Linked DNA regions of Arabidopsis thaliana. The protein of the gene in region 3 interacts with the protein of the main gene of each other region in a pairwise test. Each region holds a gene or a part of one and is shown on either strand. Other genes may lie near its edges. The genes, in order: VTC5, VTC2 and PLPB.

Evidence for each region.
Region 1: the proteins of PLPB (region 3) and VTC5 interact in a two-hybrid assay, tested with the Arabidopsis thaliana proteins (2 studies listed by BioGRID).
Region 2: the proteins of PLPB (region 3) and VTC2 interact in a two-hybrid assay, tested with the Arabidopsis thaliana proteins (2 studies listed by BioGRID).

What each region holds. Positions count from the first base shown.
Region 1 is NC_003076.8:22,361,400-22,372,430, forward strand, and holds VTC5 (GDP-L-galactose phosphorylase VITAMIN C DEFECTIVE 5 (VTC5)), read left to right. Parts: upstream 1-7,607; 5' UTR 7,608-8,115; coding exon 8,116-8,227; intron 8,228-8,304; coding exon 8,305-8,405; intron 8,406-8,498; coding exon 8,499-8,558; intron 8,559-8,965; coding exon 8,966-9,217; intron 9,218-9,296; coding exon 9,297-9,482; intron 9,483-9,641; coding exon 9,642-9,890; intron 9,891-9,974; coding exon 9,975-10,310; 3' UTR 10,311-10,468; downstream 10,469-11,031. Other genes in the region: AT5G55100 (SWAP (Suppressor-of-White-APricot)/surp domain-containing protein), read right to left, coding at 2-1,369, 1,493-2,227, 2,676-2,836, 2,995-3,265; AT5G55110 (Stigma-specific Stig1 family protein), read left to right, coding at 6,471-6,962. UniProt on the Arabidopsis thaliana protein: Catalyzes a reaction of the Smirnoff-Wheeler pathway, the major route to ascorbate biosynthesis in plants. Acts as a phosphorylase rather than as a transferase. Uses preferentially GDP-L-galactose and GDP-D-glucose as substrates.
Region 2 is NC_003075.7:13,494,169-13,505,267, reverse strand, and holds VTC2 (GDP-L-galactose phosphorylase 1), read left to right. Parts: upstream 1-3,566; 5' UTR 3,567-4,122; coding exon 4,123-4,234; intron 4,235-4,322; coding exon 4,323-4,441; intron 4,442-4,523; coding exon 4,524-4,583; intron 4,584-4,696; coding exon 4,697-4,939; intron 4,940-5,033; coding exon 5,034-5,219; intron 5,220-5,314; coding exon 5,315-5,563; intron 5,564-5,646; coding exon 5,647-6,006; 3' UTR 6,007-6,312; downstream 6,313-11,099. Other genes in the region: AT4G26860 (Putative pyridoxal phosphate-dependent enzyme, YBL036C type), read left to right, coding at 575-796, 976-1,042, 1,121-1,167, 1,272-1,359, 1,434-1,567, 1,639-1,767, 1,900-1,977; SUMO1 (small ubiquitin-like modifier 1), read right to left, coding at 6,810-6,887, 6,969-7,118, 7,728-7,802; AT4G26830 (O-Glycosyl hydrolases family 17 protein), read left to right, coding at 8,869-10,213, 10,508-10,542; AT4G26820 (GrpE-like protein), read left to right, coding at 11,087-11,099. UniProt on the Arabidopsis thaliana protein: Catalyzes a reaction of the Smirnoff-Wheeler pathway, the major route to ascorbate biosynthesis in plants. Acts as a phosphorylase rather than as a transferase. Uses preferentially GDP-L-galactose and GDP-D-glucose as substrates.
Region 3 is NC_003071.7:754,266-764,601, forward strand, and holds PLPB (PAS/LOV protein B), read right to left. Parts: upstream 6,800-10,336; 5' UTR 6,344-6,799; coding exon 5,764-6,343; intron 5,634-5,763; coding exon 5,426-5,633; intron 5,339-5,425; coding exon 5,274-5,338; intron 5,193-5,273; coding exon 5,113-5,192; coding exon of another isoform or gene 5,095-5,112; exon of another isoform or gene 5,040-5,094; coding exon 4,984-5,039; intron 4,896-4,983; coding exon 4,826-4,895; coding exon of another isoform or gene 4,808-4,825; exon of another isoform or gene 4,688-4,807; coding exon 4,547-4,687; 3' UTR 4,428-4,546; downstream 1-4,427. Other genes in the region: AT2G02700 (Cysteine/Histidine-rich C1 domain family protein), read left to right, coding at 2,178-3,677; AT2G02720 (Pectate lyase family protein), read left to right, coding at 8,908-9,104, 9,204-9,891, 10,003-10,245, 10,330-10,336.

The DNA.
Region 1 (11,031 bases), on a different chromosome or scaffold from region 3:
TTCAGTTAGAAGAAACGTACAAGGTATCAGCTAACATGGCACGGATTTTGGCTCTTAGCTCATCCGAAACTTGAGATGGTTCATTTTGCAGATACGGGATGTTATCTCCAGGAGATGCTTTAAGATCAGACTGATCTGACTTTGAAACAGTCTCCTCTTCCACTGTTTTCTCATCTTTCTTTATACGTTTACTAGACTTGTGACGATGACCATGCTCAACGTCTGAAGAGTCCTCGTGCTTGCGTCTACTGGATCTGTGTCGGTGGTGATGATGTTCATCATCAGATGAATCACGGTGCTTTTCATGCTTCCTGGATCTGTGATGATGGCTACGCTTGTCCTTAGAATAATCAACGTCTTTGCTATGCTTACTGGATCTGTGTCGGTGCTCACCCTCATTATCAGAAGAATCATAAAGCTCATGCCTATCTGAAGATTTGCTGTGTCTGTGTCTATGACGCGAACGACTGTGATACTCATCATCTGAGGAGCTCTCATGCTTGTGCTTGTCCCGAGAATGTCTGTCCTTGGAAGAGTATCGTGTCTTATGTTTATGCCGTTTTCTACTACATGAATGCTTCTTATCAGTCTTGGTTTCTTCTGTAACTTCGTCCATGCTGCTCTCTTCCTCTTCTCCTTGTTCCATCTTACCATCTTCATCTCTCTGTGATCTCGAACGGTAATTCCTCTTTGATCGTCTTTCACTGTTACCATCATCCGCTAGTTTTGACTCAGCTACATATGGAATCGAGCTACTGTCTCTTTCTTTGGCAGCCTTAGCACCTAATCCAGAAATCCCAGAGTCCAACGGTTCGACTGATATGCTTCGCGACGGTTCAGCTTGTTGAACTGGCTGCGCATCAGGTTTTAACTTGGCCACAAACATTTTTGCACGTTTCAATCTTTCTGCCTTCAACTTCTGCTCTTTAGACAAGCCTGCTTCAGAAGAATCAGCTTCACTAGCAGCAGTCGAGCCAGAGAGTGATTGACCTGTAGATTTGGCCAAATCAGGGGACTTAGATGAAGGGTAACTCACATCATTTCCAAGGGTCTGAGAAGTCTCATCCATGGGTTTGCCTGTTAGAATCCCCAACTGGGGATTCCTTATGCCTCTTCTAGCCGCTTGAAGAATAGCAGCAGCAGTATTCGCATCCACATTGACCCTCATCTGCGGTTGGACAGGCTTGAATGGTTCATTGTGCAACTCGACCTTTGGTTTGTCACTAACCATTTTTAGTTTCTCTTTCTTGGCAGAATCATCTGGTAAAACACTCCCAAACCCGTGTTTGCTATCTTTTACAGCATTGCCCATCTTCTCTTGCTTCACGTCTTCTTTTCTGATAATAACGCCTTTGTCACCTGATTTTAACTGCATATGAAATCAACCAACGTTTTACATTTTAGTGAAAGTTACAATCACAAGGTTTAAAAAGCACGTGAAAACACACCAAATTTGTAGCAGGAACATTTTAAGAACTTGAAACAGAATTACCTCTTCGGCTTCTTGGAGAACCTTCCGATAATATGCATGGTATAAGCTAGATGGACGTAAGAATGGAAACATCCCGTATTTCACATCCTGTGCAACAAGAGTAGCCTCTAGTTCTTTCCCGTTCTTTTGAATGAAGTCTACTATCTTATCAATCACTCTTTTCATCTCAGTAGTCGGCTCCACAATCTGCAGTTCAAGCTTGGGTTGCGACTTATCAGACGTCACAAGTTTTTCTGTATTGATCTGCTTCTTCTCTACAACATTTACTGCGCTGACAGAGGGATTTCTTTTTATGAAAGATGCATGATCATTCAACGGCAGAGAATGCTTAGAGGCAATCTTTGCAGCTCCTTTCGACCCTTCAGGTCCATTGGAATCAGTTACCTTAACACCATCATCACCTTTGGCGGACTCACTTGTTTTGGAGTCGTTTGCAGACTCTTCGTTAGCATCTTCATCTTCTACAGTCCCATAAACCGAACCAAGCAATGACAAAGCTCCACCATCCTTCTCACTTTCGTTCTTTTTCTCTTCTACAGAAGACTTTCCTGTCAAAAGCTCTTGATGGTCAACAAGAAACCTAAAGTAAAGGTGAAGATGATGGTCTGGCATTAGGAACCCAAATGTAGGGTTGTCTCCTTGTTTGACTCTCAAGACAATTTCAGATTGCCCACCGTGTTTGCTTACAAAACTTGAAGTCCTAGTGATAATCTGATGTAATTTCTCAGTTGGAGGCTGAAAGAAGAGAGAAAAAAAATATACAAGAAAAAATTAGTAATGTGAAATATGATGAATGACACCTTTGGCAACTCGCAGGTATATATACATAATAAAACCTCACATAAGTATCGAGAACCATAAATTGCAAAATTCAGAACTGTATAGAAATGCATCATCTGGTGTGCAATCAGTTTTAAGGTTCTTGGTAAGTCATGAATTTTTATCATCTTAATCCCACCTGCACTGCCCCTTGTCATGGCAGCAAAAGGAAACAAGGTGCATGTGAATGACAACCTTAGACAACTCCATCTCTTCTCCGAGCATCTGAAACTTAGACATAGTAGTCCTTAGAATAACAAATGCACCTTTCAGATGTTTACGTGGCCAATATCAGTTTAAGTACCAAATAAGTTAGCAAAAACTAGCATACTGCTAAAGGGAACAATCTAAAGCAATAACTTACCAGGTTTTGACGTAAGTAATCAGGCACGGGGAAAGGCGGGTGAAATCCAGATTCCATATCAGCAGCATTTTTCTGGTCATTGACATCACTAGAGCTTCCATATGAAAAAGAGACAGCACGATAACCATCCGCATTTGTATTTGCTGAATCCTCATTCATATCTGGAGAGTAAAGCAAATCCAAAGGGCAAACAAATTAAGTTTCGATCTGAATTTTTCGTAATCATTCTCTAGAACAGTTTTATGTCTCTAACATAGCTAGTTCGAGTCTCTCTACCATATAGATTAACGGAGATTTCTACGGAGTTCATCATCCTTACCGTGTTCATCATCATCCGACGGAGATGGAGATTCCGACGGTAAATCTAGATAACGCTCGTGATCGAGCTCCGATTCCAAGTCAGCATCGTTTGAATTCGGACGACGGCGTTTGATACGTGGAGGAGGAGGAGAAGAGAGGAGATGACGAACATCGTAGCGGTCAATAAAGAGGCTGTTCCAGTCAACGAGCGCCGTCGGAGAGTTGACAAACGTTGCCATCGAATCATCGTCGAAAAAGAGAGCGTGACGACCAACAATCTCTAGATCCATTGTGTGATTCTTCTAAAGCAATGGAGAATTGGGATTTGGGGAAGAGGCTAGGGTCTGTGTAATCCGTAATTTGGAACCGGATGTTCCAAATTCGTGATTGACCCAAAGATGTGATGACTTACAAAAGAGATCAAGTCGACTAAATGACGTCGTTTATAAGACTTTTTTACTTGCCGTTTGAAAAGTAATAAAACCACACGCATTTGGGAGAAAATAACTAACAACGACGTGCATTCTTTATGTTTTTGCGTTTTCAACCCTGCTTAAGAAAGTTTATATTTTTTCCCCATAACCTTAACTTTAATAAATGTAAGCCACCCTAAGAGTGAAAAAGCAGTGAAATCTCCAAATTTAAAGTGCTTCAACATTTGTGATTTCATTGGAGAATTTTGCTCAATCTAGTATCTGCCTCGTCTTGATGTGACGGTTATCCACATTGAGTTTTTACTTTGATGAAAATATTATGAGCTCTCTTTCTTTCTTTTTTAGGTAACTTATGAACCCTCTTTCTTTGTCAGGGCTTTCAAGCTATCTCCTCATGATACAATGGTTAAGTGATTTAATATTCTCTCTATATAATTTTTGTAATTTTATGCATCTATCTAACCATGTTTGAACAACCTGTATGGCACATTGTTTTCAAAAGTTTCGAAAGCAATTACTCTGTAGAAATAATACTAATTAAACTAACGTTATCTAATTAAACTAACGTTAATGTAAAACGACTTTGCGTGTGGCTTAATAGTTAATGCAACAGAAAGATATCGTAGAGAAACAATAAGATTATCGTATAGGTCGGAAAATGACCAATAAGCAACAAGGGAATGGTTTTGACTTTTTTGACGTAAAGTTTATACATTGTTTAACAAATTGGAGGAAAGCGTTGACCTCTCTCTATTGCTTTCTTCAACACCGTATATAATATTTGTGCCTTGTGGACGTCTTTGACTGGTTTATTCAAGAATTTTCTTCGATAGTTCGATCGTTGGTGTATAGAGCTATATTAGTGTAAGCTACTATAGGGACATTCAAATTTTATATAACTGTTTCAAAAACTAAATATAGATTGTACACATTTATGCAAAAACATACATTTAACAAAGCAAGTTGTATTAGTTTAATTAATGGTCATCATCGTACTAATGGACATCATAATTCGGATTCCATTACACATATTTATATCAGGAATCACGGGTTTGTTTGTAACTTAAAATAAAGTGGAAAGATCTATATACCTTGTATTTTCATTTGTAATGTGAGATATTCATTGTCTCGGACATATCACTACAAAACGGACTATATACATTGGCGGACGCAAGTGTATAAGTACTGGGGCACGTGCCCCATGCAAGATTTGATAATTTTGAAGTTTGTTGTGCAATTTGTATTGTAGATGAAAGAATTCGTTTGTTGTGCCCCATGTTAGAGTGACTTTTTTTCTAGTCAGTTGGTTATTACTCATTAATTTTACTATTTTCAAGTAATAAATGTTTTCAGTATTTAACTTATTTTTACTTTATTTATCTTTTTCTATAACTGTTTGAAGGAATTATGCTAATATAAGGTACTGCCAATGTTGATTGACACTTCAAAAAATTTTCTTCCATTTACATGTCTTTTAAGAAATGTTCATATTGTACTTTATTTTAAAAATTTATAAATATGTTGTGCCTCGGGTTAATTATGGTTCTAGATCCGCCACTGACTATATATGTATACTATGAGAAATCATATGTCGGGTAATTATACTTGGAACTATGGTACCATATTAGAAGATTAGAGATAGAATGAAAAAAAGAGTTGAATTACTCCATGGAAAAGACTAAAGAGAACGGAGTTGTACATCATTTATGTAAGAGATTGTCTGATATGAACAGAAGACTAGTGACGATGGAAGGAACTTAGCCTTACAAAGCTTGCTCATGTGTTTCTAAAGTAAAAACTTTTATTTATTGACTTATATAGATTATTTTCATATTATTCTATTGTTACAAGTTACAATGTAAAAATGGCCTTTCATATATTAAATTATATAATCGTGGTTGATTGGGCGTATGCGGATCGAGAACTTTAGAATTCAAGTTAAAGCAAGTGTCCATTAGAGGCAGGATGTATATAGCTTCAATTTGCTTTATTTAGAAATATATAAATTAGTGGTTCGTGGTTTTCACGACAAATAAAATCAATAAGTAATTTTCTTTTAATCAAAATCACGCCTTTGCGTCTCCTTGCATCTCGCCTGAATCATCTCAGACCGTCCCATGAGGCAAAGCGATGGATTCCGTCATGGTTTGTCACGCATATGCAGTTTTTATTTTAGTTTATATTTTTTTGGTAAAAAGTTAAATTTATATCATTTTTGAAATTTACATACAGAGAACATAAAAAAAAAAACCACCAAAAACTACAATACAACACAAACAAGAAAAACATAAACGAAAACTCGATTAGCGGAGATCCATGAAAAAACACCGATTCTGAACCGTAAAGTTCAGCCATTTGCATGGTTTCCTTTGGTCGAAAGAGTTAGAATCCTCATCTTTATTTTCTATTTTTGTTATATGTTGTCATTATAATTTGAAGTTTTTTTAAAAAAACCGATATATATAGAACACTCTGATTAACATGGTATCAATAAAAAAATAACATGAAAGTTAGCATTGGTAAGTGCTAACCTATAATAATGAATTCAAATGATCACCACATGTAAAATCAACCATATTCCAAAGATAGTTCTCTCACACCTGGTAACATATTACAAATGCATTACTACATTATTAGTACGAGAGGCTGTCTAAAATTAATATGTTTTGATTACGTATATCACACATAATTTATTTTTACTCTTATGTTGTGAACGCGTAAGCGAATAAGCATGTGCATGTACATGCACAAAATTAATTACTGAAATGAGAAGGAAAAAAGAACACCTCTCCCCAAGAAAAGATCGATCGCTTGAAACCTTACTTAACCTTTTTCACCACATTTCACGCGTCAACTCGTCTCGATCACAACTATAAACCCTAAGTCCACCCTCTCCTCAATTCTTCACAGCTCAATCTCTCTCTCTCTCTCCCAAATTCTCTTCCTAGCTCTCTACATTCACATAATTTAAACAAGAAGAAGAAGAAGAAGGAGACAAAGAAAGGAAGAAGAACAATATATCTCGCTGTAACTCACTAACACATTCATAGATCAAGAGAAAATGGCCCATTTCATGAAGCTACTCGTGACAATTGCATTAACAACCGTGGTCACAATCGCCATCGTCACCACCAAAACCACCACCAAGACCGCAACATTTGCTCTCGAAGACCCTTTCAAGGACCTTACACCACCAGGAACGATCAAGATCAGACCAAGTCGGTTCTTGGCAGAAAAAGTCGACAAGGGTAAAGAACCAAAAGCCCGTAACCCAAACGCAGCTGACCATTGCAACAAGGACAATGAAATCTGTAGCAGCAGCGATTACAGCACAGGAGCAAACGCTACAATGGCTTGTTGCAACAACAAGTGTATGGATTTATCAACCGACGACAAAAACTGCGGTTTATGTAAGAACAAATGCAAGTTCGGGCAAACGTGTTGTCGTGGTCAGTGCGTTTACGTGGCCTACGATAAACGCCATTGCGGTGAGTGTAACCATCGTTGCGATCTCGGCGAGTTCTGCGTCTACGGTCTCTGTAACTACGCGTGATGAATCAATCATTCATTCACGCCAACGTAAAAAAAAAAAAAAAAAAAAAATTTAACTAAAATTATACGGATGATTTATTTACATGGACGCTGATTAAAAAAGGTCGGTCCAATTAATTATTTACTTAATAATTAATTAAAGTGTTGTGTGTATTTTTGGATTCCCATAATGTTTTGAGGGGTATATAAAGGAGATTATTTTTTCTATTTTCAATGTCTACGAATAAAATGGAACATCCTCGTTCCAATATATACTGCTGTTTTATTACTAAGGTTTATAATTGGAGTGTATAAAAACACTCCAAAATAATATCATGAATAATGTTTTTATACGTATAATACATAAAATAAAATCTCTTTCCTCATAGCTGGTCCTCTGATTACTATCAAACATATGATTCAATTGCAAATTTGCAATTATTAATGCAAGAAGAATGAGTGGAACATTAAAGTTAGATCAAAAACTCTTCATTACAAACATAAATAAATTCATTTTGGTGCTTTCTAAATTAATTTATTGATCATTTTTTGGTATGTAGCTAGGGGTTAACTCATCAGGAAGAACATTACCTAGATGATGTCATTGTCAAAGTCAATAGGTTGACTTATCCGATGGATACTAATCCAACGGGTCAAAAAGTGCCAAATCGGGTCAAAATCAAAAACCTCAAAGATGACCCGTGAACACTTGTTTTTATCTTCCTCACAAAATCCACACGTCCAAATCACAACCTCAAAATCTCACACATCAAACACGTGAATTTGCTCTCTTTCTGGTTCACTCACCTACCATTACTATAAGTCTGAAAGAGTGATTGAAACCCACCTCGAAAAATCTATCCTTTTTTTTGTTTTCCTTCTCCGGCGAATCCCCGGGGAGATTGGTAATCGGTAATCACGGCTATTTACGGGATAAAGCCACGGCCTTTGAGCTTTCATGTCCAACGAAAGGGTTGTTTAATCATAACTAATCCTTTGCCTCACGGAGGACGTGGAGCTCTGCCGTCTGAAGGCGGCAGTCCCTCCGATCTCCTCTTCCTCGCCGGAGGCGGTTCCACAAATAGCCACTAACCCTAACCCTTTTTCTAATTAGGTTTTTAGTTCTTAGAGTCCTGTATTAATCTGTTATTTCGAGATTATAATATTTGTGAGCAATGTTGTTGAAGATCAAAAGAGTTCCAACAGTTGTATCGAATTATCAAAAAGATGAGACAGTTGAAGAAGGTGGATGTGGTCGGAATTGTCTGAGCAAGTGTTGCATCAATGGTACATTTTATAGAGCTGGCAAAGTTCTTCTTTTTGTTTGAATTTGAATTTTGCTGACATTTTGTTTGTGTTTTCAGGGGCAAGACTTCCTTTATATACCTGCAAGAATCTTGATAAATCCGTCGGAGAGAACACAGAATCTCCGGTGACGTTCCTCGAATCCTTAGTTATTGGAGAGGTAGTGGTTTTGGATACATGTTAAAAAGTTCTCACTTCGTTAACCAATTCGTTAATTGTTTGAGTAATGTATCAAATGCCTTATGTTTTCTAGTGGGAAGATCGTTTCCAAAGAGGTCTTTTTCGCTATGATGTCACCGCCTGCGAAACCAAGGTATTATTGTCTCTTTGATTTTTGGTTAATTGATTTACTTTTAGAGCCAAATGTGTTTGATGTTTACTTGACCTGAAGCATCAAGTTTCAGCTCACATTGTTGATGACTTGATGTTTACTTGGAGCTTAAGAATCATGTTTTAGTTTCACATTGTTGATGTTTACTTGAGCTGAAGAATCAAGTTTCAGTTTCACATTGTTGATGTTTGCCTAAGCTAAAGCATCTAGTTTTAGTTTCACATTTACTTGAGCTGAAGAATCAAGTTTCTGTTTCACATTGTTGATGTTTGCCTAAGCTAAAGAATCTAGTTTCAGGTTCACATTGTTGATATTTACTTGAGCTGAAGAATCAATTTTCTGTTTCACATTGTTGATGTTTGGTTGTTGGTGTGCATTGGTAATAATAGGTTATACCGGGGAAGTACGGTTTCATTGCGCAGCTGAATGAAGGTCGGCATCTCAAGAAGAGACCAACCGAGTTCCGTGTTGACAAAGTTCTTCAACCATTTGATGGAAACAAATTCAATTTCACTAAAGTTGGTCAAGAAGAGTTGCTTTTCCAGTTTAAAGCTAGCACTAATGATGATGATAGTGAAATTCAGTTCTTGGCGAGTATGCCTCTAGACGCTGATAATTCTCCTAGCGTCGTTGCAATCAATGTAAGGAGTTGTTGCTTTTAGGAGTCTATTTTCCTTTGCTGATTATCTGAGAACTGAACTCAGAATTCTTTTAACGCAGGTGAGTCCGATTGAGTATGGGCATGTGTTGCTGATTCCTCGTGTTCTTGATTGCTTACCTCAAAGGATTGATCACAAAAGCCTTTTGCTTGCTCTTCAAATGGCGGCTGAAGCCGATAATCCGTATTTCCGACTTGGATACAACAGTCTAGGCGCTTTCGCTACCATTAACCATCTTCACTTTCAGGTAAACAGAATCAAATAGTTCGAAATTTGTTTATAACCAATCGGTTTTAATTTGTTATGAATTCTCGAAATCGAATAAAGCAACATGAACTGAACCAAATAACTGAATGCTCTCACCTTTATACTATTGTGATATTTATGGAGATTCTACTTGGAACAGGCTTACTATTTGGCAATGCAATTCCCGATAGAGAAAGCTTCTTCCTTGAAGATCACTACCACCAATAATGGCGTCAAAATCTCTAAACTCTTGAATTACCCTGTGAGAGGTCTTCTAGTTGAAGGTGGAAACACCATTAAAGATCTCGCAGATACTGTATCAGACGCATCCGTTTGTCTTCAGAACAACAACATTCCTTTCAACATTCTCATCTCTGACTCTGGCAAACGAATCTTCCTTCTCCCTCAGGTTAAATCTCACAACATTATAAACGAAACTTGATATTGACTGTCAAAAGAAGAGCTTTCTAATTAACCATTGTTTGATTTGCAGTGTTACGCAGAGAAACAGGCTTTAGGAGAAGTTAGCTCAACGCTATTGGATACGCAAGTGAATCCAGCGGTTTGGGAGATGAGTGGACACATGGTGTTGAAGAGGAAAGAAGACTATGAAGGAGCGTCAGAAGAGAAGGCATGGAGGTTACTAGCTGAAGTTTCTTTATCAGAGGAGAGATTCAGAGAAGTTAACACTATGATATTTGATGCCATCGGTTTTAGTAGTCACGAAGAAGAAGAAGAAGAGGAGCTTGAAGAGCAGAATTCGATGAATGGTGGCAGCTTCACAATAGTGCATTGTCCTTCAGTGAAAGAAGAGGCTGTCTCTAATTGAGGCGCTTTATAACTAAAAGCAAAAACATAACTGTCGTCGTGATTTTGCATAACTTGTGTTTGACATTTTACTGTTTTGTAGTTTTTTTCTTTTCTTCTTGGCTTTGTTACGTCTTTGTTCGAACCTTTTGAATCAATAAAATCGAAATCGCCTAATTCAAAAAATTAGTTACTCTAGTCTTAAAGATGGACAAAGAGAAGAAACAGAAGAAAAGAAAAAAAAACAAATTTCATAAAAATCCTGTATTAGATTTATTTGCATATTTGGGAACCCTCTTTATGCAAACCCTCTAGACGAAGAAGAAGCTTTTGTAACATTTGTTTTTTCTTTGGCCCTTCTCCTTTAGTCAGATCGACATTCTTCTCAGCTGCCATCACCGGAGTTCTGAGACTTGGATACTTCAACAATTTCCATATCTCTCAAGCTTTTAGCTTTTCTCGCGTAAACGCTTCTTCATCTCCATCTCTCACTCTCTCATTTATATTTATTTGTCTGTCGTCTTCATTTCACTGATCTGTTGAACTTTTGCATTTCATTCTTTTGATGTTTTGGATTCCAGAAGTGTTTTTATTTTGTCTCTGCTTGTCCCTTTCGATGACAAAGAGAACCTAATTGGGTTTTGTTGGGTTTAAAGCCGTTGAGGTTTTGCATCTGTTTTATTAAATAAGGAAATGCATGGAAGGTGTTCGATAAAATGCCAATTACAATCAGCAGTTTACTA
Region 2 (11,099 bases), on a different chromosome or scaffold from region 3:
ATTGGTCCAGCGAAGACCCATGTAAAGCACAAGTTGAATTGATTTGAAGTTTACAGTGATAATAATTTTTTTTTTCTTTTTTTTTTCACTGATTTATTGGATATTGTCAAAGACTTTTACAAACCCACAAATGGGCTTAACATAAGACCCAAAAAAGTACAAACAGAATACATGAAATTCGAAAAATATATACAGAAGTGAAAATTAAAACATGAATAAGAGGTGGGTGTAATTTTACATTGAATGATGTTATGTCCAATCAATAAGTGGTGGGTGTGGGTGTAATTTTGAATCCCATAACGTTTTGAAAGGGTATATATAAAAACACAATTTTGATATTGTTTATGCAATAAAGATTCCAATAATCTCGTGAATTGATGACTATATACATCAACCCTTACATGTGTCTCTGCCTTGGAAATTTTGATTAAAAGTGAAGAGATAAATAATCGCAATTAGTATTGAACGTGTGGACCGTGAATTATCCAATTAAAGGCCATAAACTAATTTACGTGACAAAAACATTACTCCCGAAGAAGCCCAAATTGACGACAGGCGTTAGTGGCGATTGGCGATGGCAGCTCCTGCGGTGGAGGCAACCGTCGCAAGTGCTCTCCGCTCTGTGATTCTTAGAGCTCGTAAGGCGGCGGAGCAAGTAGGAAGAGATCCCGAGCGGGTCAGGGTCCTTCCAGTCTCCAAGACTAAACCCGTCTCACTTATCCGCCAAATCTACGACGCAGGTCACCGTTGCTTCGGCGAGAATTACGTTCAAGAAATCATCGATAAAGCTCCACAGGTTCCTCTCTCCAATCCTTGTTATCTTCACTAGATAATCGATTTCATTTCAAAATCCGAATGTTTATCCTTCAATCACTAACTACTATGTGTCTCTCCATTTTCTGGGAATGTGATATATTTTGTGCTTTTGATGATGCTAATGGAGCTTCTCCTTCACTTTGTTTGATTGATATACAGCTTCCGGAAGATATAGAGTGGCATTTCGTGGGGCATTTACAGAGCAACAAAGCCAAAACGCTATTGAGTCTGACTTTTATCCCCATCTTTAATATTGAATTAGGGGTTTAGTGAAAGTGAAAGTCGTTTAATCCAATGTTTGCAGCTGGAGTCCCAAATTTGGCAATGGTTCATGGTGTGGATGGAGAAAAGGTATTATAACTAGCGATTAGAGGTTGTTGTGGCGTTTAACTTGCACAATTCACTTTACTAGGAGGTTATTTTGGTTATACAATCACTTGGGATTGATTTCACAGGTAGCAAATCATCTAGATCGAGCTGTTTCAAATCTTGGGAGACATCCACTAAAGGTTTTGGTCCAAGTGAACACAAGCGGAGAAGTTTGTGAGTATTTTACCTCTATGCTGATTTCCTTGTCCAGCCTCTTCAGTTGGCTGACTGATTGATTATGGATGCAGCTAAATCTGGAATCGAACCTTCTAGCGTTGTAGAGCTAGCAAGACATGTGAAACATCACTGTCCAAATCTGGTATTCTCCGGATTAATGACTATTGGGATGCCTGATTATACGTCTACCCCAGAGAACTTCAGGGTATTCTACTACTTGATTGGATACTTGTTTTACGTGTTCTCGGGTTATTCCTACAAGTTTTACTTACCAAGGTTTATTCTTTTCCCCATAAACCGGGACAGACACTTTCAAACTGTAGAGCTGATGTATGCAAGGCACTTGGAATGGCTGAGGATCAATTTGAACTGTCCATGGGCATGTCTGGTGACTTCGAGCTAGCGGTAATATCTTTGTCTCTCTTCTAATATCGAAAATGCAATCAACTCAATATCGAAAATCATTTGAATGTGTTCTTTCTTTCATCCGAGGAACCACATATATGTGGAAGATGATCTTTGACTATGTTTCTGCAGATTGAGATGGGAAGCACCAATGTGAGGGTTGGTTCCACCATTTTCGGACCAAGAGAGTACCCCAAGAAAACAACTTAGCTACTATGCTCAAACACTTGTTGTAAAATTCATGTATAATGTTATTTTGTCGATTATTTTAAACAATTTTATTCTTCATTGATAAACTTAGGTGTATTCACAAAGTTACTTTATAGAAAATTAGAAATCAATACATTGTTAAGGGCTTTGTAACTGAGTTGAATATTTGTAACAGCAGATATCGCATTTTGATACTTGTCCTCTCGAAATTGATGTTTACTGACGCACGATTATTGGGAATTTGGGACTTAGTGGTGTACCAATAGCATCTCAGCTTTCATGGTTACAAAGAGGCCAGTGAAAGAGGCTTGGTCAACCGCAATTATGATCCGTTACTTGCACTGACTACCACCGATCCACCGCCGTAACTCTTTAAATCTTAATGCAATACTAATTCGAATTACATGTCGAGGTCTTAAAACATGATAAATGGTTGTTTAAAGTAAAAAAAGAAAAGAAACAATAAATAAAACAAACGGTGATGGAAGGAGGGACGTACGATCGTAGTCGTAGAGACTGCCAAATAAATAATGGACCACTATTATGTGGTTCAAGAACTATATCCTTTTCTTAGATTCCGAATCTTAACTTGTGTTTCTTGCCTTGTTTGGTTTTTTTTTTGTTTATTTTGTAGTTTTGTCTCATAAAATAACGAACAAAAAGCAATGGTCTAAATATTTCTCAATATATGTATTTAAAAATTATATCATAGTTTCGCAAAAAAACGACCGAACGAACGATGGTAGTCATTTGCCCAAATTGAGCCTCGTAGTAGTTGCTACGACCACACCCCCGTCCCATGAATAAACACGACCATGTAAATATTATCTATAAAGACAACATAAATTTACAAATTAATGTTGAACAGAAAAAGTCAAAAAGAAAATTTCGTTAATATAATAATAATATTCTATGATAATATAAAACGTGGCATAACACATGACTTCACATGACATCATAAGAAGACATATGCCACATGAACTCTTCATCGCCTCCATCCTTTTAGTCTCGTTTACATGCAGCAAACTACGATCTACGATTATATACAATGAAATTCAAATTCATAATCAATTGGCATTAAACATACGTATATCATAATTCATAAGGTTAACTAGGTTTAGCAAATGTTATTCTCTTTGGATAAACGTTTAGCAATTGTTTATCTCAAATTTAATTGAAAATACTTGTAAGACACAGTTACAATTAGTTCTCAATTTCCAATCTACACAAGATTTAAATCTTTCTTTAGTTCATTCTGATCTATTTTTCTCTCAAAGAAAATGTAGTGCTCCAACTTTTCTCCCAAGACTAATAAAAATTTTCTTAATTGCATGCAAAAATATTTTTTCCAACTTTAATCTTATCAAACTTAGATCTCATTTTATCTTCCGAATAAGATTTTTGTTTTGGTCCTTTGCCTAATCAAACTAACTAATTAGATTAGAAGAAAAATACAATTAGACAAAATAATATCGATGAAAAAATAAAATCCACAAGAAAGGACCTAAGAAATTTCACGTCCGAATCACAACCACAGAAAAAAAGAGAGAAATATTAGTATATAATTAAAATTTTGTCGTCTGTCTTCTCTGGTTCACTCATCTCCTATCTATTTAAAGCCCATTCGATATCCTAAAACACTGTATCATCAAAAAACACCTCAAAGAATTATTCATTCAGGCATCTTCTCAAATTTTTGTTTGTGAAAAAAACCCACATCAAAAGATCTCTCATTTATTCGTTTCGTTTCTGCTGTTTTGAGTGTCGGGTTCGTTTTAGCTGTAATCTTTTTTTCCGGCGTTCGATTTGAAAAAATCCGGGGAACAGGTGATCGGAATCACGGCTATACACGGGATATCACGGGGTGTTAGCTCACATGTCCATATTGTCCGACAGAAGGGTTGTTTAATCGAAACTAATCCTTTGCCGCACGGAGGACGTGGAGCTCTGCCGTCTGAAGGCGGCAGCCCTTCCGATCTCCTCTTTCTCGCCGGTGGCGGTTCCAGCTTTAACTTCTTTTCCTTTAGGTTTTAGGAGTTAGGGTTTGTTAGTGTTTTTTCCTTCTTCTTTTTTTGGTGCTCTTGAATCGCTTTTTTCTTGGGGGAAGTTTTTTCTTTTGCTCTTCGAAATTTGTCTTTTTTGAGAATGTTGAAAATCAAAAGAGTTCCGACCGTTGTTTCGAACTACCAGAAGGACGATGGAGCGGAGGATCCCGTCGGCTGTGGACGGAATTGCCTCGGCGCTTGTTGCCTTAACGGTACGTTTTGGAAACCTGAATCGTCTTTTTTAATCATGTTTAAATTTTATCACTTTTTTTTTATTCACCTTATGATGTGTTTGTTCAGGGGCTAGGCTTCCATTGTATGCATGTAAGAATCTGGTAAAATCCGGAGAGAAGCTTGTAATCAGTCATGAGGCTATAGAGCCTCCTGTAGCTTTTCTCGAGTCCCTTGTTCTCGGAGAGGTAAATCATAGACCACTGATTTTGATATTCTGATAATGGTTTCTGTAGCTTGGAAGAGTCTAATCAGTATTCTTATGTTTAGTGGGAGGATAGGTTCCAAAGAGGACTTTTTCGCTATGATGTCACTGCCTGCGAAACCAAAGTAATTGTCTTTCTTACCTTGTTTGACAATCTAGTTATGTTGGGTTGTTTGTTGCTGAGGAATCCGAGATATGTTTTACATTGTTCTTAAGATTGTTTCTCTTGATGTTATAGGTTATCCCGGGGAAGTATGGTTTCGTTGCTCAGCTTAACGAGGGTCGTCACTTGAAGAAGAGGCCAACTGAGTTCCGTGTAGATAAGGTGTTGCAGTCTTTTGATGGCAGCAAATTCAACTTCACTAAAGTTGGCCAAGAAGAGTTGCTCTTCCAGTTTGAAGCTGGTGAAGATGCCCAAGTTCAGTTCTTCCCTTGCATGCCTATTGACCCTGAGAATTCTCCCAGTGTTGTTGCCATCAATGTAAAGACTCTTGTGCAGAGAGCTTGGTTTTTTCTTTCTTCCTTTTATTGGTTTCGCTAGCAAAAGATTAATTCTTTATTGTTGTTTTTAACAGGTTAGTCCGATAGAGTATGGCCATGTGCTGCTGATTCCTCGTGTTCTTGACTGCTTGCCTCAAAGGATCGATCACAAAAGCCTTTTGCTTGCAGTTCACATGGCTGCTGAGGCTGCTAATCCATACTTCAGACTCGGTTACAACAGCTTGGGTGCTTTTGCCACTATCAATCATCTCCACTTTCAGGTATATCCAAAAGTGATCCAAGCATAACCTTTTCACCCTTGCTCATCTAAGATGTTTGTTCTGATTGTTTTGGTGGTGATTGTTTTTGGAAACAGGCTTATTACTTGGCCATGCCTTTCCCACTGGAGAAAGCTCCTACCAAGAAGATAACTACCACTGTTAGTGGTGTCAAAATCTCAGAGCTTCTAAGTTACCCTGTGAGAAGTCTTCTCTTTGAAGGTGGAAGCTCTATGCAAGAACTATCTGATACTGTTTCAGACTGCTGTGTTTGCCTTCAAAACAACAACATTCCTTTCAACATTCTCATCTCTGATTGTGGAAGGCAGATCTTCTTAATGCCACAGGTATATAACTACACCGTTGGATGAATACATGTTTTGAATTACTTAATCAAAAGTGAATAACAGTTTGAATGTAAAAATTGCAGTGTTACGCAGAGAAACAGGCTCTAGGTGAAGTGAGCCCGGAGGTATTGGAAACACAAGTGAACCCAGCCGTGTGGGAGATAAGTGGTCACATGGTACTGAAGAGGAAAGAGGATTACGAAGGTGCTTCAGAGGATAACGCGTGGAGGCTCCTTGCGGAAGCTTCTCTGTCGGAGGAAAGGTTTAAGGAGGTTACTGCTCTCGCCTTTGAAGCCATAGGTTGTAGTAACCAAGAGGAGGATCTTGAAGGAACCATAGTTCATCAGCAAAACTCTAGTGGCAATGTTAACCAGAAAAGCAACAGAACCCATGGAGGTCCGATCACAAATGGGACGGCCGCCGAGTGCCTTGTCCTTCAGTGAACAATATGGTGACTTGGTGGTTTGTATGTATAATTAAAAGCCTAAATAAGCAAACTCTCTTTGTAGTTGCATTTGAAGCTTCTTGGTTTATGTATGATGGTTGTGGGCATTTTGTGCCTAGACTTCTGGTTCTTTGTTTTTTGTTATGAGTTGGTGTTTATGAATTATATATGTTCTTCACTAATATGATTATTATTTGTATAGATTTGATTATTCAAAGGATATGTCTTAAGAAGGGGTTCAGGTTCAGCCAACTAATTACTTGTAACCAAGTCTTTCTACCATCAACAACCATGTTAAGATTCAGACACTTAGTTTTTACAGCTCGAGACTCGAGAGAGAGTAATAATACTGATTATTGTCTTGTCTATAACCACCACAAGCTCTGGTTATGAAGTCGTCCTCTATAGACTATAATTCACTAACTCGATGCTAGTTCATGTTTAAGTAATATTTTGTTTAGTTGACTAGATGGATTTTATCTTTGCTCGCCATTAGCTCAATGAGCTACGTATATGTTAAGAGTCACACTTTCAATAATTAATAGCTTTTTACCGTTACCATACCAACAAACTTTAGATAATTGGGTTAATAACACCTTTAAGCCGAAATAGTAGTATCATAGGATCCGATACCAAACGAACAAGACAAAAAATCAACCAAAGGGTTCTTTAACCTTCGTGACCATAATAACTTAGTTTCTAAAGAGAATGGTCACGATAAAAAAACAAGTCTGCAAATCCTAATGCCGATTACTCCTTAACCATTCATATCACACACAAGCCCTAAACCTGGACGAAGTGTCAGGCCGTAGCACCACCACCGCTGCCACCAGTCTGATGGAGCATCGCATCGATCTCATCACCATCCTCCATGTCAAGCTGTAGTGTCAAGAATTATTAGTATCAGAAACTATAAACTTCAAAAGGTAAGAAATAAAGCATGTAGAATGAATGTTATACCTCATCGGGAGTTTGCTCAGCACGAAGACGACGCCCATCAAACAAGAAAGCAATGGAGTTCATGTCCACAGATTGCCGGTCACAGTAAGCATTCATCAGCTTCTTGAGCTGAGTGCTTCTCTTGATCCTAAAGAAAACCTCGTTTCCATCCTATAAAACAAACATATAGAAGGAACAATAAACGTTAGAGACCGCATATGAAACAATAACTAAATCACATGGCTCTCTTTTGGTAGTAACCTGAAAGAGTCGAAAAATTAAACACATATCAACAAACATTCAGTTTAAGGCTTCGTCTATGAGAATTTGAAGCACAAACATCAGCCAAACTAATTGAAAACTTAGTACAGAGACTACAACTTCATCAGAAGATATATAACAACTTAGTACAGAGACAGCATCGTTCACAGTCTTTAGAACATTCAACAACTAAGTAAACTTATCCCTTCCAAAACTATAAAACCCTCAAACAACAACAGGAACCAAAAGCTCAATAACAACTTACACCTAAACAAGACTTATATAATTTCAGAAATTTGATAAACAATTAGCAAAAACAAGCAAACGTGTAAACATAAAGCAGGATACTTTAAACCTGTAAAACAAAAGAGGAAGAAGACCATTAAGACTGAGCTAGTAGTACGAAACCCTAAAATTAAACCAAATTGGAGAATGAAAAACCCTAATCGCAGCTACACGAAATCAGAAACCCAAACATTCACAAGAACACACAAGGATGAGAAGGAGAAAGAGAGATACCTGTCCCTTGACTTTGAGATTGATGTGAGCTCCTCCGTCTCCTGGCTTCTTGTCTTCCTCCTGGTTTGCAGACATCGTGAAAGGTTCTCCGTCCGGTTACAAAAACACGAAATTTGAGAGAACGATGAGAGATTCACACAATCAAAGAATGATGCTGAGAGATGAATATAAAAAGACTGACTCTGAAAATCTCTCTAATTGGCCGTGGCTTTTGTACTTGGACGCATCGGATTCCTCTCTATCATAAATCGTAGGGCATCTATCCAACGGTTCATATTCTCTCTAGGTTCTCTTTTAATCCAACGGCTGCTAGTTATGTTCAAATCTGTCGTTTCGTTATAATGGGCTTATATTTTTATTGGGCCACATCTAACCCACTAGACAATTTCATTTGGTTAAATATTTTAGGTTGCAGTTCCTGATCTCACGTGACGTGAGTCCTCCTATCCACCACTCTCCATGATTTCATCATCTGTTGAAGACTTGACAATTTGACATAGAAGAAATAAATAAATTGTTAAATCTATAAATCATGTCACTTTGTGTATTAACAAAAAGATTAGTTGAAGGAGATAAAGTCTGTCACACACTCTTCACAAAAGAAAGAAATGATGATGAATTAACGAAATATGCGCAATGCAACATATAAAGAACCTAGGTCTTGACTCTTGTTTAAGAAACAATAAAAGTCAAGGTTTTTGTTAGGTTTCTGTTATAACCAAAATCAACTATGAAAACATTCATATGTTAGAAAAACATCAAAATTATAGAGAGTTCCTTTAACTGAAGATTATGGTAAAGTAAAACTTTTTGCTATAAATAGAGCTTTAAAATTATACAGTTTTAGTTAAATCTATTATTTCAGCTATTCTTCCGTGTTATTAGTTATCCCACAACCCCCACTTGGCACTTGTTTACACCTAAATCGTATAAATACTGTAGACCAGCTCCGTCCCAAACGCAACAAAAACTTTCCTTCGTCTCCATAACTATCAAACGACACTCATCTATGCGTTTAATGCTCTGTTTCTGAAGATACACTCGAGAATAACCATGGCCGTTTCTTTCTTACCTTATTTTCTGATTCTTTCCTTCCTCTCAGCCATTGACGCACGTTAGTTTTTAATCTCTTCATATACCTATGTCTGTCTCTGTATTTGCCGTGTCTACTACGTTGTTCTTATTTTGCGTTTTTTTTGTTTTTGTTTCCACAGATTCTGGAATGGTCGGAGTCAATTATGGTCGGATAGCTAACAATCTCCCGTCGCCGGAGAAAGTAGTGAACCTCCTGAAATCTCAAGGAATCAACCGTATCAAAATCTTCGACACCGATAAGAATGTACTAACCGCACTTGCAAATTCCAAAATCAAAGTAATCGTCGCTCTCCCTAACGAGCTTCTCTCCTCCGCCGCCTCCCACCAATCATTCGCCGACAACTGGATTAAAACCCACATAATGCCATACTTCCCAGCGACGGAGATCGAAGCTATCGCCGTCGGTAACGAAGTATTCGTCGATCCGACGATCACGCCGTATCTTGTCAATGCGATGAAGAACATTCACACCTCTCTGGTTAAGTATAAACTCGACAAAGCCATCAAGATCTCGTCTCCTATTGCTCTTAGCGCGCTTGCTAATTCGTACCCGCCTTCCTCTGGTTCTTTTAAACCGGAATTAATCGAACCGGTTGTTAAACCAATGCTTGCTCTGCTTCAACAAACGTCGTCGTATCTTATGGTAAATGCTTATCCGTTTTTCGCTTACGCAGCAAACGCCGATAAAATCTCTTTAGACTACGCTCTGTTTAAAGAAAACGCCGGGAATATAGATTCCGGTACCGGATTGAAGTACAACAGTCTCTTTGACGCTCAAATAGACGCCGTTTACGCGGCATTGTCCGCCGTCGGATTTAAAGGCGTTAAGGTGATGGTGACGGAAACAGGGTGGCCTTCCGTTGGAGATGAGAATGAGATTGGTGCAAGCGAATCTAACGCGGCGGCGTATAACGCCGGACTTGTGAAGAGAGTGTTAACGGGTAAAGGAACACCGTTAAGACCGACGGAGCCACTTAACGTCTATTTATTCGCTTTATTCAACGAAAACCAGAAACCGGGGCCAACGTCTGAGAGAAACTACGGTTTGTTTTACCCAAACGAAGGGAAAGTGTACAACGTTCCGTTCACTAAAAAGTCAACGACGCCGGTCAACGGTAACAGAGGTAAAGTTCCGGTGACGCACGAGGGACATACATGGTGCGTTTCGAACGGAGAGGTAGCGAAGGAGAAACTTCAGGAGGCTCTTGATTACGCTTGCGGAGAAGGAGGAGCTGATTGCCGCCCGATTCAGCCAGGTGCCACGTGTTATCATCCTGAGTCGTTAGAAGCTCACGCTTCGTACGCCTTCAATAGTTACTACCAGAAGAACTCACGTCGTGTTGGTACGTGCTTCTTTGGTGGAGCTGCTCACGTCGTCACGCAACCTCCTCGTACGTTAATCTAATCTCTCCTCTGTTTTTATCATAACATTACATATTTTGCTTTAGTTCAATTCAGAAGTGTATATTTAGCTGTTATTTATGCTTAAAAATTCATTTGGTATGTTTATTGAAAAAAAGAAAAAGATAGTGGCAAATGGTTTAGTAGTTGGCGGTTGTGAAAGTTGAGCTATATTGGGTCATTTTGGCCTTTTAAGATGTTCACGTTTCTGTAAGATCGATATATATGGTGACCTTTAATATTTTTATATAATTCTAACAAAATTATTTTTTCGTTGATTGCAGGATATGGAAAATGCGAGTTTCCCACCGGACATTGAGGCGGAATAGTTGGCAGCAATTTTCTGTGTTTTTTTTTTTGCCTGATTTATTAAGTACATTGTTTGCTAATCGGGAATATATATATATTTTATATTGTGTATAAAATATATTAACTTTGTTGAACTATTTTATATATTTTAATTTAAAATTATATCATCACTAGATTATTCTCAAAATCTTGCATGAATGCTGAAGTTTGACATAATAAACAAAATGAATTTTATGTTGCAAAAATAGTATATTTTATTCTAGTATATTATTATTAGAATTTCAGGGTATATATATTAGAAGGAATAAAATCTTGTATAGTGGATAAAATGATTCTATAGAAACTAAAAGATTCATCTAGTTGAGATTATAGAAATCAATGATTTTATTAATCATTTTATCTATTATATATACAATCAGAAAAAATGATAAAGATTTTAATTATTAATATCTTTAATTTTTATAATCTCTACTAGATAAATCTTTTTCTCTAATTGTTTTGAGATATCATCATATAAACAAGTAAACATTATCAGCACTTGTATAAATCCCAATATGGATGATGAAC
Region 3 (10,336 bases):
ACGTGATTAAAAGAAACGTAACGGCTAATACCAACAAGTAACAACGTTCAAAATTCTCTACTTCTATATAATAAGAAGGAAACTCAAGTACATTCTTCCCCAACCGAATGGCCGACTTTCTCATCATATTTGGAAGAGTTACAGAACGATAAAAATGAGTTCACAAGCTTTTTTTTTTTATCTTTAATCTCTCGTAGTGCTAATGTTAAAGCGGATTTTTTGTCACGAAAAGTTCGTATCCAACCGCTTCATATTACATTTGTAAACAACATTCTTCAGAATTGTCTTTTTTGAGTCCTAATTAATTTTCGGATGACAAAAAAAAGAAAAAAACTCTAAGTACACTCCTCTCTTGTTACAGCCAAATAAAATGTTTGAGATTTTTCAAAATTCAGTCTAATTATATCCCTCTGCTAATTAGATTGTCGTCAATCACGTGATGTTAATGTTTGTAGGAGATACTCAATTTCAAGGTTAGATAGCCTCTCTCTATCTTATTCATCTCAGATTTGGATTTACTTCTTTTTTTTGCAGATTTACTATTTGCAGAAATTACCTGATCACTGTTTTCAATATGTATTTTTGGTTTTCTCTTTATTTTATCTTCCAACAATTTTTATTATTTTTAAATATTCCAACAAAAAATTTGGATTCCCAATTCAACTTCAATGGTCCATGTGCCTTCAATATTATGTTAGAAGTCAAAATATTCCAACCTGTGTACTTTCCATTGTTTATTAATATTTTGAAGTATTAAATTGTTTTTCTTAAAATATCACATTTATAAGGTTATTATCAAAAATATCACTATATATTAGTTTTTTTTGTCATCGCGATTTTAATTAGAGCACAAAACGAGGCAAATTTGAGAAATGTTGTTTATATAAGTGATATGAAGCGTTTCAGTGCGAACTTTTCGCGCCAAATTATGCGCTTTTATATTTACATTACAAGAAATTAAAGATAAAGAAAAATTAGTTAATTCTTTCTTGTCGCTCTGTAGTTTTCCAAATAAGCTGAGAACGCCGACAATTCTTTTGGAGAAGACACCATATTCACCAGATTTGAACAGTTCGTAAAAAAATGCTACACCTTGATTATCGGCCAATCATACACTTCATCACCTAGATTGCAGCTTCTACTTCGACTTCACTATTAATTTAATATATCAAAACTACTATCAAAACTTTTGGATTTATCAGAGTATCATAGACACAAAACATTAAGGTTTGGATTAACTATTTTGGTTTTAGAGTATAGTTTTAAATGATATGGTTTATAGTTTAGTGTTTAGGGTTTAGGGTATAAATTTAAATCTTAACAAAATCTTCTAAATATAATAATTAAAAATTTAATACTTTACCAAGTGTCATTAGCTCAATTGGTAAAGATCCTACGTGAAGTTTAGAAGTCGCCGGTTCGAGTGACACTTGGGACGAAATTATTATTACATGTTGTGGTTTCGGCCTTGAGAGAATTATAGATTTCGGTTTAGAACTTCCTGATATTTAAGAAAAAAAAATCACATTTACGGATTAGAAAGATTAAGTTAATTTTCCGGTTTTTGTTAAAATCCGAAAATATTCTGCTAAATTAATACTCCAAAAACAATAAAGCTTTTATACCTTTTAGATAAAATAGGAAAATGGTCTTAAAACCAATGGCATGAAAATTTAAATTTCTCAATTATTAGTAGATATACAAAAAAATCGTTGAGATAAATAATACAATAATAAAGACTTTATAAAACAGACTAAATTAATATTATAGCTGTATTTTGCCTTTTTAAAATAGAAAGTTTCAGCTTAGCTGTATTTGTTGTTTTTATCAACCAGCTTTAGCTGTATAAGTTTAAACAATGACTTTCTTACAGAAGATGCATTAATATATCTCATTATGTTATCGTACATAAGATGCATTAATATATATCATCATGTTATTGTAATAATACTGTGAAAATAGCATATAGCCCATAGTTTATGTGCCACTTGAATTATATGACATGTTCACTCATCAAAAACTCACGACTAAATTATATCATTATGAAAGAAATATTAAACAAATTGCAAATGGGAGGACATCACGTTTCAGTATGTATGTGTCTATAGATATGTAAAGGCAAGAACGATAGCAATATCCCAAAAACCTCTTAAAAATAGTCTCCGATCTAAGCAGACATGGACGTGGTCGGAGAATTTCAAAAAGGAGAAATCGATGGGAAACCATGTCTCATATACCAAAACGTTATAAAGCCACAAATACACAGCCCAAATTCCTCCGATGAAAAACACCTCATTCAAAACCCATTACCAATCCAAAACATGACTAAAGTTGCCATTGATTCCGGCGACAACCTCCCTCCTCCACCTCTATTTATATGCCCTTCATTACGATTCAAACTAACAATAACGATCGAAGCTAAACTATTAGATGATGGGGGCCCAACGCCTGATGTTGATGGCAAGCTAAGGATTTCCCATCTCCTTGGTGACAATATGATGTATGGTCATGACATACTCCCTCTCTTTTGGTGTAACAATAAAGAAGCTGATCCAAAAAACGATTGCAGTATTTGCAATACCCGAAAGGTCGGCACATGCTATTATTTCTGTGTCGAGTGTGATCAAAGGTACCACAAAGAATGTGTTGAGTCTCCACTAGAGATCAATTATCCTTCCCACGTCAAACATTCTCTCCAACTTTATAATGTAAAAACATTTGAGCATTGCATCTTGAGCACAAAGAAAGCAGAAGTTTTGCTTTATTATTGTGCTCTTTGCGACATTTATATGCATGTCCTTTGTGCTCAGGCAAAAATCCCTTTTCTCATAGACCAACCAAAAAAGCATGACCATACCCTCACCCTTTTTCCTAGACAAGCTTCCTTAACATGCAATGTTTGCGGTTTGGTAGATAAACTTCATCTCACTTACGTCTGTCGTTCTATATGCGATTTTGTAGCCCATATAGACTGTATCCATAACCCACAAACTATAAGAATCTCTCGTCATTTCCACGGTGTGTCTTTCACTTCTTCTCTTCCATCAGGAAAATGGTGTTGTGGAATTTGTCGCCGAGAGATTGACAGTGATTATGGGGCATACAGTTGCAATGTGTGTAAGGACTACGCTGTTCACACAAGATGTGCATTGCGTAAGGATATATGGGATGGCATTGAACTCGAAGGAGTACCAGAAGACAAAGATGTTGAGCTTCCGTTCTACAGGATAGCTGATGGAATCATACTTCACTTTTCTCATGGTTGTCATATGAAATTTGAAACCAATGGAGTTTACAAAGAAAACGAGTTTTGTCAAGCTTGTGTCCTTCCAATCAACGAGGAAAACTTTTATGTCTGTGTGAAATGTGACTTTATTCTACATGAAAAATGTGCGGATGCCCCCCGGAAGAAGGTTCATCCATTACATCCACATCCAATTGAACAAAAGGTTGTCCATGAAAACCATGAATTCGAATGTGCTGCTTGTATGCGTAAGAGTAGTGGTTTTGGATATGTGTGTACCATCAATGGTTGTGACTACGAGCTAGATGCAGTGTGTGCTTCGGCTTCTGAGCCATTTAATTATCAAGTCCATCCACACCCTTTATTTCTGGCTTTAGACCCAAAGAAACGACAGTATGCCACATTTGCAAGTCAACAGGAGTTCAAAAGGTAGTAAATTGCATTGAATGTGATTTTATCATATGTTTTAAGTGTGCTACCCTACCATACACGGTAAGGTACAAGCATGATGAGCATTACCTCACGTTTTGTCGTGGAGACGAGGCAAGTGGCTCAGATTGGTGTGAATTATGCGAAGGAAGCTTAGTCGTTGGAGGAGAAAAAGGGTTCTATAAGTGCAACGAGTGTTGTACCACACTTCATATTAATTGCTTACTTGGCCCAGATCCATATTTGAAGCCGGGTCTAACTTTCCCATTGTGTGGCGGTGAGATTCTTTTTCAACGCAACAATTCTGCTTCTCGCCCAATTTGCCATAAGTGCAATATCCGGTGTCCGTATCCAACAGTTTTGGAATACAGATTGGAAATGTCTTCTACTTTTCTATGTTGCATTTTCCACCTATAAATCTTCGTGTTTTTGGAATACAGATTGGAGATGTCTTCTGTTTGTCGAATCACGAGCAGAACATTTTCGATTGTAATATTTTTTTCTTGTTTGCCGATACCAACCTTGTTTCTTACATTCTATAAACGATGTTGCATTCTCCTGAAGGTGAAAAATACGGAATCTGTAAAGTGAAACCGAGATCATTTGGATTTTCGACATTCGGAACACTTAATAATATACTCATCTAATCATATTAACTTGATGAAACTAACTAGTTCTTACCTCTTGATACTTATCCGCATTCAATAAATGACCTATTTCTAACTCGATTCACGTTCTCTTGAGTGCACATACTCGGTAAAATAAAGACTTATATTAATGTAGTATGTCAAATGATTATACATATAGTAAAGATGTATGTCCAATTCACTTTAGACTCTTCTCTAAGTCGACGCATTTTCTTTCTGGCGTATATTAGCATGTCACCATCAATGAGCTTCTAACCGCAACTCTAACCGCACCGACAACACTCAGTTGTCTCGTCTCTGGTCTCAGCTCTTTAATTTCAGTATTTCTACAACTTGCTTCTACTTGAACACCCACAAAATATGCTGTCTAAAAAAAGCAGAAATCAGTAACTGTACTAATTACTTTCAGTTCTACATGTCATATTCGGGTTTTGTATCAAGGCCAAAAAATGAAAGACAAAAGGATTTGGTAACAGGAAGTATGTAGTCATGAAGGGATATGTACCTTGCCTGAAGCATTACGAACTGGTGAGATGTGAAGAAGATTCCAAAATGAGCTCTTATCTTTTCTGTTACTGATAAAAAACATATATGATCAGCCCAAAACAAATCAAAGAAACAAGATTCGATCGCAAAAATGTTTTGAAGAAGTAAATCTTCAACCTGTAATTTAGTATTTGCACTGTGCATGATTGTCCCTTTAAGATGCATTCCTTCATCTGAACCAAATAAAACATTCACAATTATCAATCATGCCATATACTAATTAACAAGTTAAAACGCAATCTCTACCTCGTATAGTACTGAGGAATCAGTATCAACCCCACTCAGAAATCTACAGTTTTGTCCCAACACTTCCTGTCTCTTGTAACCTACAAACATTGATATAAATAAGAACTGTGACCAAAATCTAATAACGGTAACTTTATTTCTTCAAACCTAGACACACTTACCGGTCAGTGTCAAAAAGGCATCACTCGCATAAATGATAGGCATGTCTGGTAAGCATGGATTGGTTCTGCAAAGTTACGAGAACAATGTCAATATCAAAATCTATTGTAGCAGACTGTAACTCCATAACACAATAAAAAAATAATGTACTCACAATACGAAACTTTGTTTGATTCTACCGAGAGAAATAACTAACGACGAGCTTAGACAATCTACTCCTCGCAAGCAGTACCGCTTTCCGCAGACTAATCTACCACTCAACTCGCTGTAATGCACTAAGATAGATAACACATTGTTAATAGCTTCCGTAGCTTTCAGCTTCTCGGACTCACTCGCTTCACACTGTTCCCAATCCTCTAATCCTGCAATACAACAATGCTTAAATCAATACTTAGAACGTTCATTAAGCTATAGGATAAGATTCTGACTGATTCAAACGCTCTCTGAGGAATTTCATCAAACAAGTAAAACGCATAACTTTAAAAACCAAACCTTGTTCATCATCATCACATTCCACTGGTAAAGCTCGATCCTGACACACGAAATTACCAAAACAAACCTCTCTTCGACAAGAACCAAATGTCGGAGAAGTATCCGACGACAAATCTCCGACATTTCTCAACTTCTTCCGATGATGTTCTCGTCCCGAAATCGGGACCTGAACCGCCACAAAATTGGTGACTTTACCATCATCTTTCCCAAAAACAGGACACATATGAAACAACATCCAAAACGGAGACCCAGATTTACGATAATTCAACAAGCTCACTTGCACTGATCTCTCTTCACGAATCGCTTCACGAATCTCCATGATCGATCTTCGATTAGTCTTAGGTCCTTGAAAAACTTTACCGTTTCTTCCGATCACTTCTTCTCGTGAATAGCCAGTCATTTTCAAAAACCCTAAGCTCGCGAAAACAATCGGGTGACCCGAAATAAACGGGTCGGTGATTGTGAAATTGTGTGGAAGCTCCTCTAATGCTTCTTTGATCCATAACGTGTATCGACCGCTAAAGGAATCTTCTTCTTCTTCTTCAGTGAAAACTGATTCTGAAGATTTCGTTAAGGACATAATCGTAATAAACACTCGATGATGATTACTCTTCTTCTTCTTGTCAGTCTAGTGTTTAGTTCCAATCCCATGTGGGTTTTCAGGCGAAATTGAGAAACTTTTTCTTCAAAGTGAATTCGAAACACGAAATCCAGATTGTGAAATTTGAAATCAGGAATCAAGAAAATGTTTTCATTGAAAAAAAGCGTAACTTTGGAGAAGATAAGACAGAGGAGAGAAAGAGAAACCAGAGATCCTTAAGTAAAGGAGAAGAAGAAGAAGATGAAATGAGAGATACGGAATTGAGAAATTAAGAGTCAATTTGATTGTAATCTCTATCTGTTAGAAGAAACGTTCTTCTTTCTTCTTGTCTGATTTTTGTTTTGTGGCTATCGGAAGAGGACGATTGGTTTTGTCGCGTTTCTCAGTTCTTCGAGTTGTTAAGATATTAAAAATAAATATTTTCAGATATTTGTTTTCCTAATTTGGTAAATACAAAATTTATAAATTAAATTTTCAACAATTTATCTAAAGTGATTTAGGGATAAGTACAAGGTTTATGTAGGGTAGACACAAATTGGATAAGATAAGTGAACTTAATAGTTCATTTAGTAACTAATGTGTTGCGAAAAAAAAAAAAATGTTTTTGATAATAATATCTTAATTTGCCGACCAAACAAAATAATTAATTTAAAAATTTATAATTTGTGATAACATTAAACAATAGTGTAGGTTAAAAAAATTTTAATTAATTAATTTGGACATAAATTTTTTTGATCTATTAATTGATTAAAAGTTTATTAATAATTTTATACCAAAAAATTTAAAATTCGAATTTCAAATATTATAATTTATTACAAATTTACAGATTAATAAAAATAAATGTATAAAAAATTTACAACAAAATATAATTATAATCGTTCACCAAAATTTTATTAAAAACAAATTTTATTAAAAATATTTATAACATAAAAAAAGAATACATTGTATATCATAAATCTAATAAAATTAAAAAAATTATCTATAAAAAAATTATATATAACATTTTTTATAATTTACAATAAAAAAATAAATATTCTAAAAACCAAAAAAAATCACTCCGGATATTTGGACTAATCTAATGCTAATTGTATTTGTTAAATATAAAATTATGCACCTCTTATTTAAGGAGTGTAGTGGGTCCTAGAAACCGAGATTCCACGTAAACAAAGGCTGGAAAAAGACAAAAGCTGACTGTCCATACTTATCTATTTCTCTTGTGTCGTGTGGCTTTGTTTGTGTTATCAAATCGATGCAACCTGGCTTACGTGGCATTTATCATTTGTACGTTACTCTCCGGTGCTAACATGTGTCATTCACTCATCGCTTATTATTGATTCGAGTAAGGAGGCCCATTGGGCTGTATTAAGCTGTTTTGTTTTTAAAACAGGTTCGCAGACGAAAATAACAAATTGTCGCCAATGTTCATATCGGCCAACTCAAATCTATCATCTAAGAGTAAGACCAAAATTAAAATTCACAGTACATTGCTACACTACTACTATAGAAAATGGTGAAATACCTAAAATGTGAAGTCTATGTTCATGTTTGCAGTTGCTAAAGACTGATACCAACGATTGCGATCATCAAAAGTTATTGCGCGCAACACATTTTTTGTTCGTTTGGTAGTCGAACAAAAAATTTGGTCGTTGGTCGTTATATAACATTTTAGGGTGAAGGATTCGAAAGAATTTTTTATAAAATACTAAAATGAAACACTTTAATTGCTCGTTATAAATCAACTTTTAATCAGAATTTTAATTTATGTTTCAAAAGTTAAAAATCTCAAAACAGTAAAACGAAATACTGACTAGATATTTGTTTAAACGGAATCATACGTTTTTTTTTTTTTTTTTTAAATATCAGGAGGTTTTGGACTGAAGCCCGTAATCCCCTAGGTCTGAAACCACAGCATGTAATATTAGTTTCGTCTCAAGCGTCACTCGAATTTCGCCAATTGAGCTAACAACACTTGGTGGAATCATACGTTTATCTGTTTATATTTTCAACAAAAATTATCATTCCGTAATCTTATGATTTCTTTGTAAGTGCAAGTGGTCTTTGAAGTTTTTGATTGAATTTTGTTGGCTTTTAGTAAGAAATGATTTGTTACTGAATTCATTTTGTAATCAATCCTAAGTTAATCAAAAATTATAAACAAGAAAACCCAAATAAGAGTAATATTTAGGTTTAAAGACAAAAATAACTGAATATATTCCACAAAAGAAGGACAAACAAAGAAAGAACAATAAAAAAAACCACACAAACTATAATTGGTTTACAGGAAAAGTAACAGAGATATTTACAAATCAATGGTAACCTAATAATTACTCTGTTAATCGTTAAATCCTCCATTAATGTCTTTCATTTTCCCTCTCTCTTTCAAGTTCCTTGTTATTTAAGAAAGCCATGAATCCGATTATCTATTTCTAACCCTGGGCCGACCAGAAAACTTTTTGGACGACCCAAACTTCAAGGGTTCTAATAAATTCATCACCGGAAAAAGATACATATAAAATAAAAATCTCTCACCACTGCTGATTCAAATGGTGAATCTTGGGAGCTACGTTTTCGTCTTTGTCGCGTTGTCTCTCACCGTGGTGGTTCCATCGGTTCAAGCCCACATCGCCGAATATGATGAATACTGGACGCAGCGTCAAACCAACGCATTGCGAGAAACTTTGGAATCTTATGACCCGAACCCAGAGAACGTCACGGACCACTTTAACTACCATGCCGCCTTGTGGGTTCTCTAAAATTTAACCTAGTTAGGGTTTTTGATTTGTTATCAAAACCTAACTTCTTCCGGAAGAAACTAATGTTTTCTTGTTTTCTTTCTCAGAGCTATGGAGACGACAGGGATAGTAAACGAAACAAGGAGGGATCTCCGTCAGGTCGGACGCGGTAAGAAAACAACTAGACGTGGAGGAAGGTTTGAATCCCTAAACGCGATCGATAAATGCTGGCGAGGCGACAAAAACTGGGACAAAAACAGGAAAAAACTAGCAGATTGTGTCCTCGGATTTGGCCGGAAAACAACCGGAGGCAAAAACGGACCGATCTATGTAGTCACTGACCCATCCGACAACGATCTACTAAAACCAAAACCAGGGACTATAAGGCACGCCGTGACAAGGGACCGACCACTCTGGATCATCTTTGCGAGAAGCATGATCATAAAACTGCAACAAGAACTGATCATAACGAATGATAAAACAATCGACGGTCGGGGAGCGAAAATTTATATCACTGGGGGTGCAGGTTTAACGTTGCAGTTCGTCAGGAATGTGATAATACATAATATTCATATCAAACAGATTAAAAGGGGAGCTGGTGGGTTGATTATAGACTCCGAGCAACATTTTGGGCTTCGGACAGTGAGTGATGGCGATGGGATTAATATTTTTGGAGCAACGAATGTTTGGATCGATCATGTCTCAATGACGGATTGTTCTGATGGGATGATTGATGCGATCATGGGATCGACTGCAATTACTATCTCCAATTCCCATTTTACCGACCACGACGAGGTAAATAAGGCTACAAATAAATCATAGAAGTATCTGTGGTCCAAACAATACACACTGGATACAAACTTCGAATGCAGAAACTATTGAGGTCTAAGGTCTCTCTTAATGCAGGTGATGCTATTTGGGGGTACAAACAAGGATGTGATCGACAAGAAAATGCAGATAACAGTTGCGTTTAACCATTTTGGTAAGAGATTGAAGCAAAGAATGCCTAGAGTCAGATTTGGTTTGGTCCATGTTGTGAACAATGACTACACTCACTGGGAAATGTATGCAATTGGTGGAAACATGAACCCTACCATTATAAGTCAAGGCAATCGTTTCATTGCTCCTCCTATTGAAGATTCCAAGCAGGTAAAAACTACGAAAACTTTCTCTAATCAACAAATCACTACAGCTACACTTGAGAGACATAATTGAGAGAAATTTGGAATGCAGGTTACAA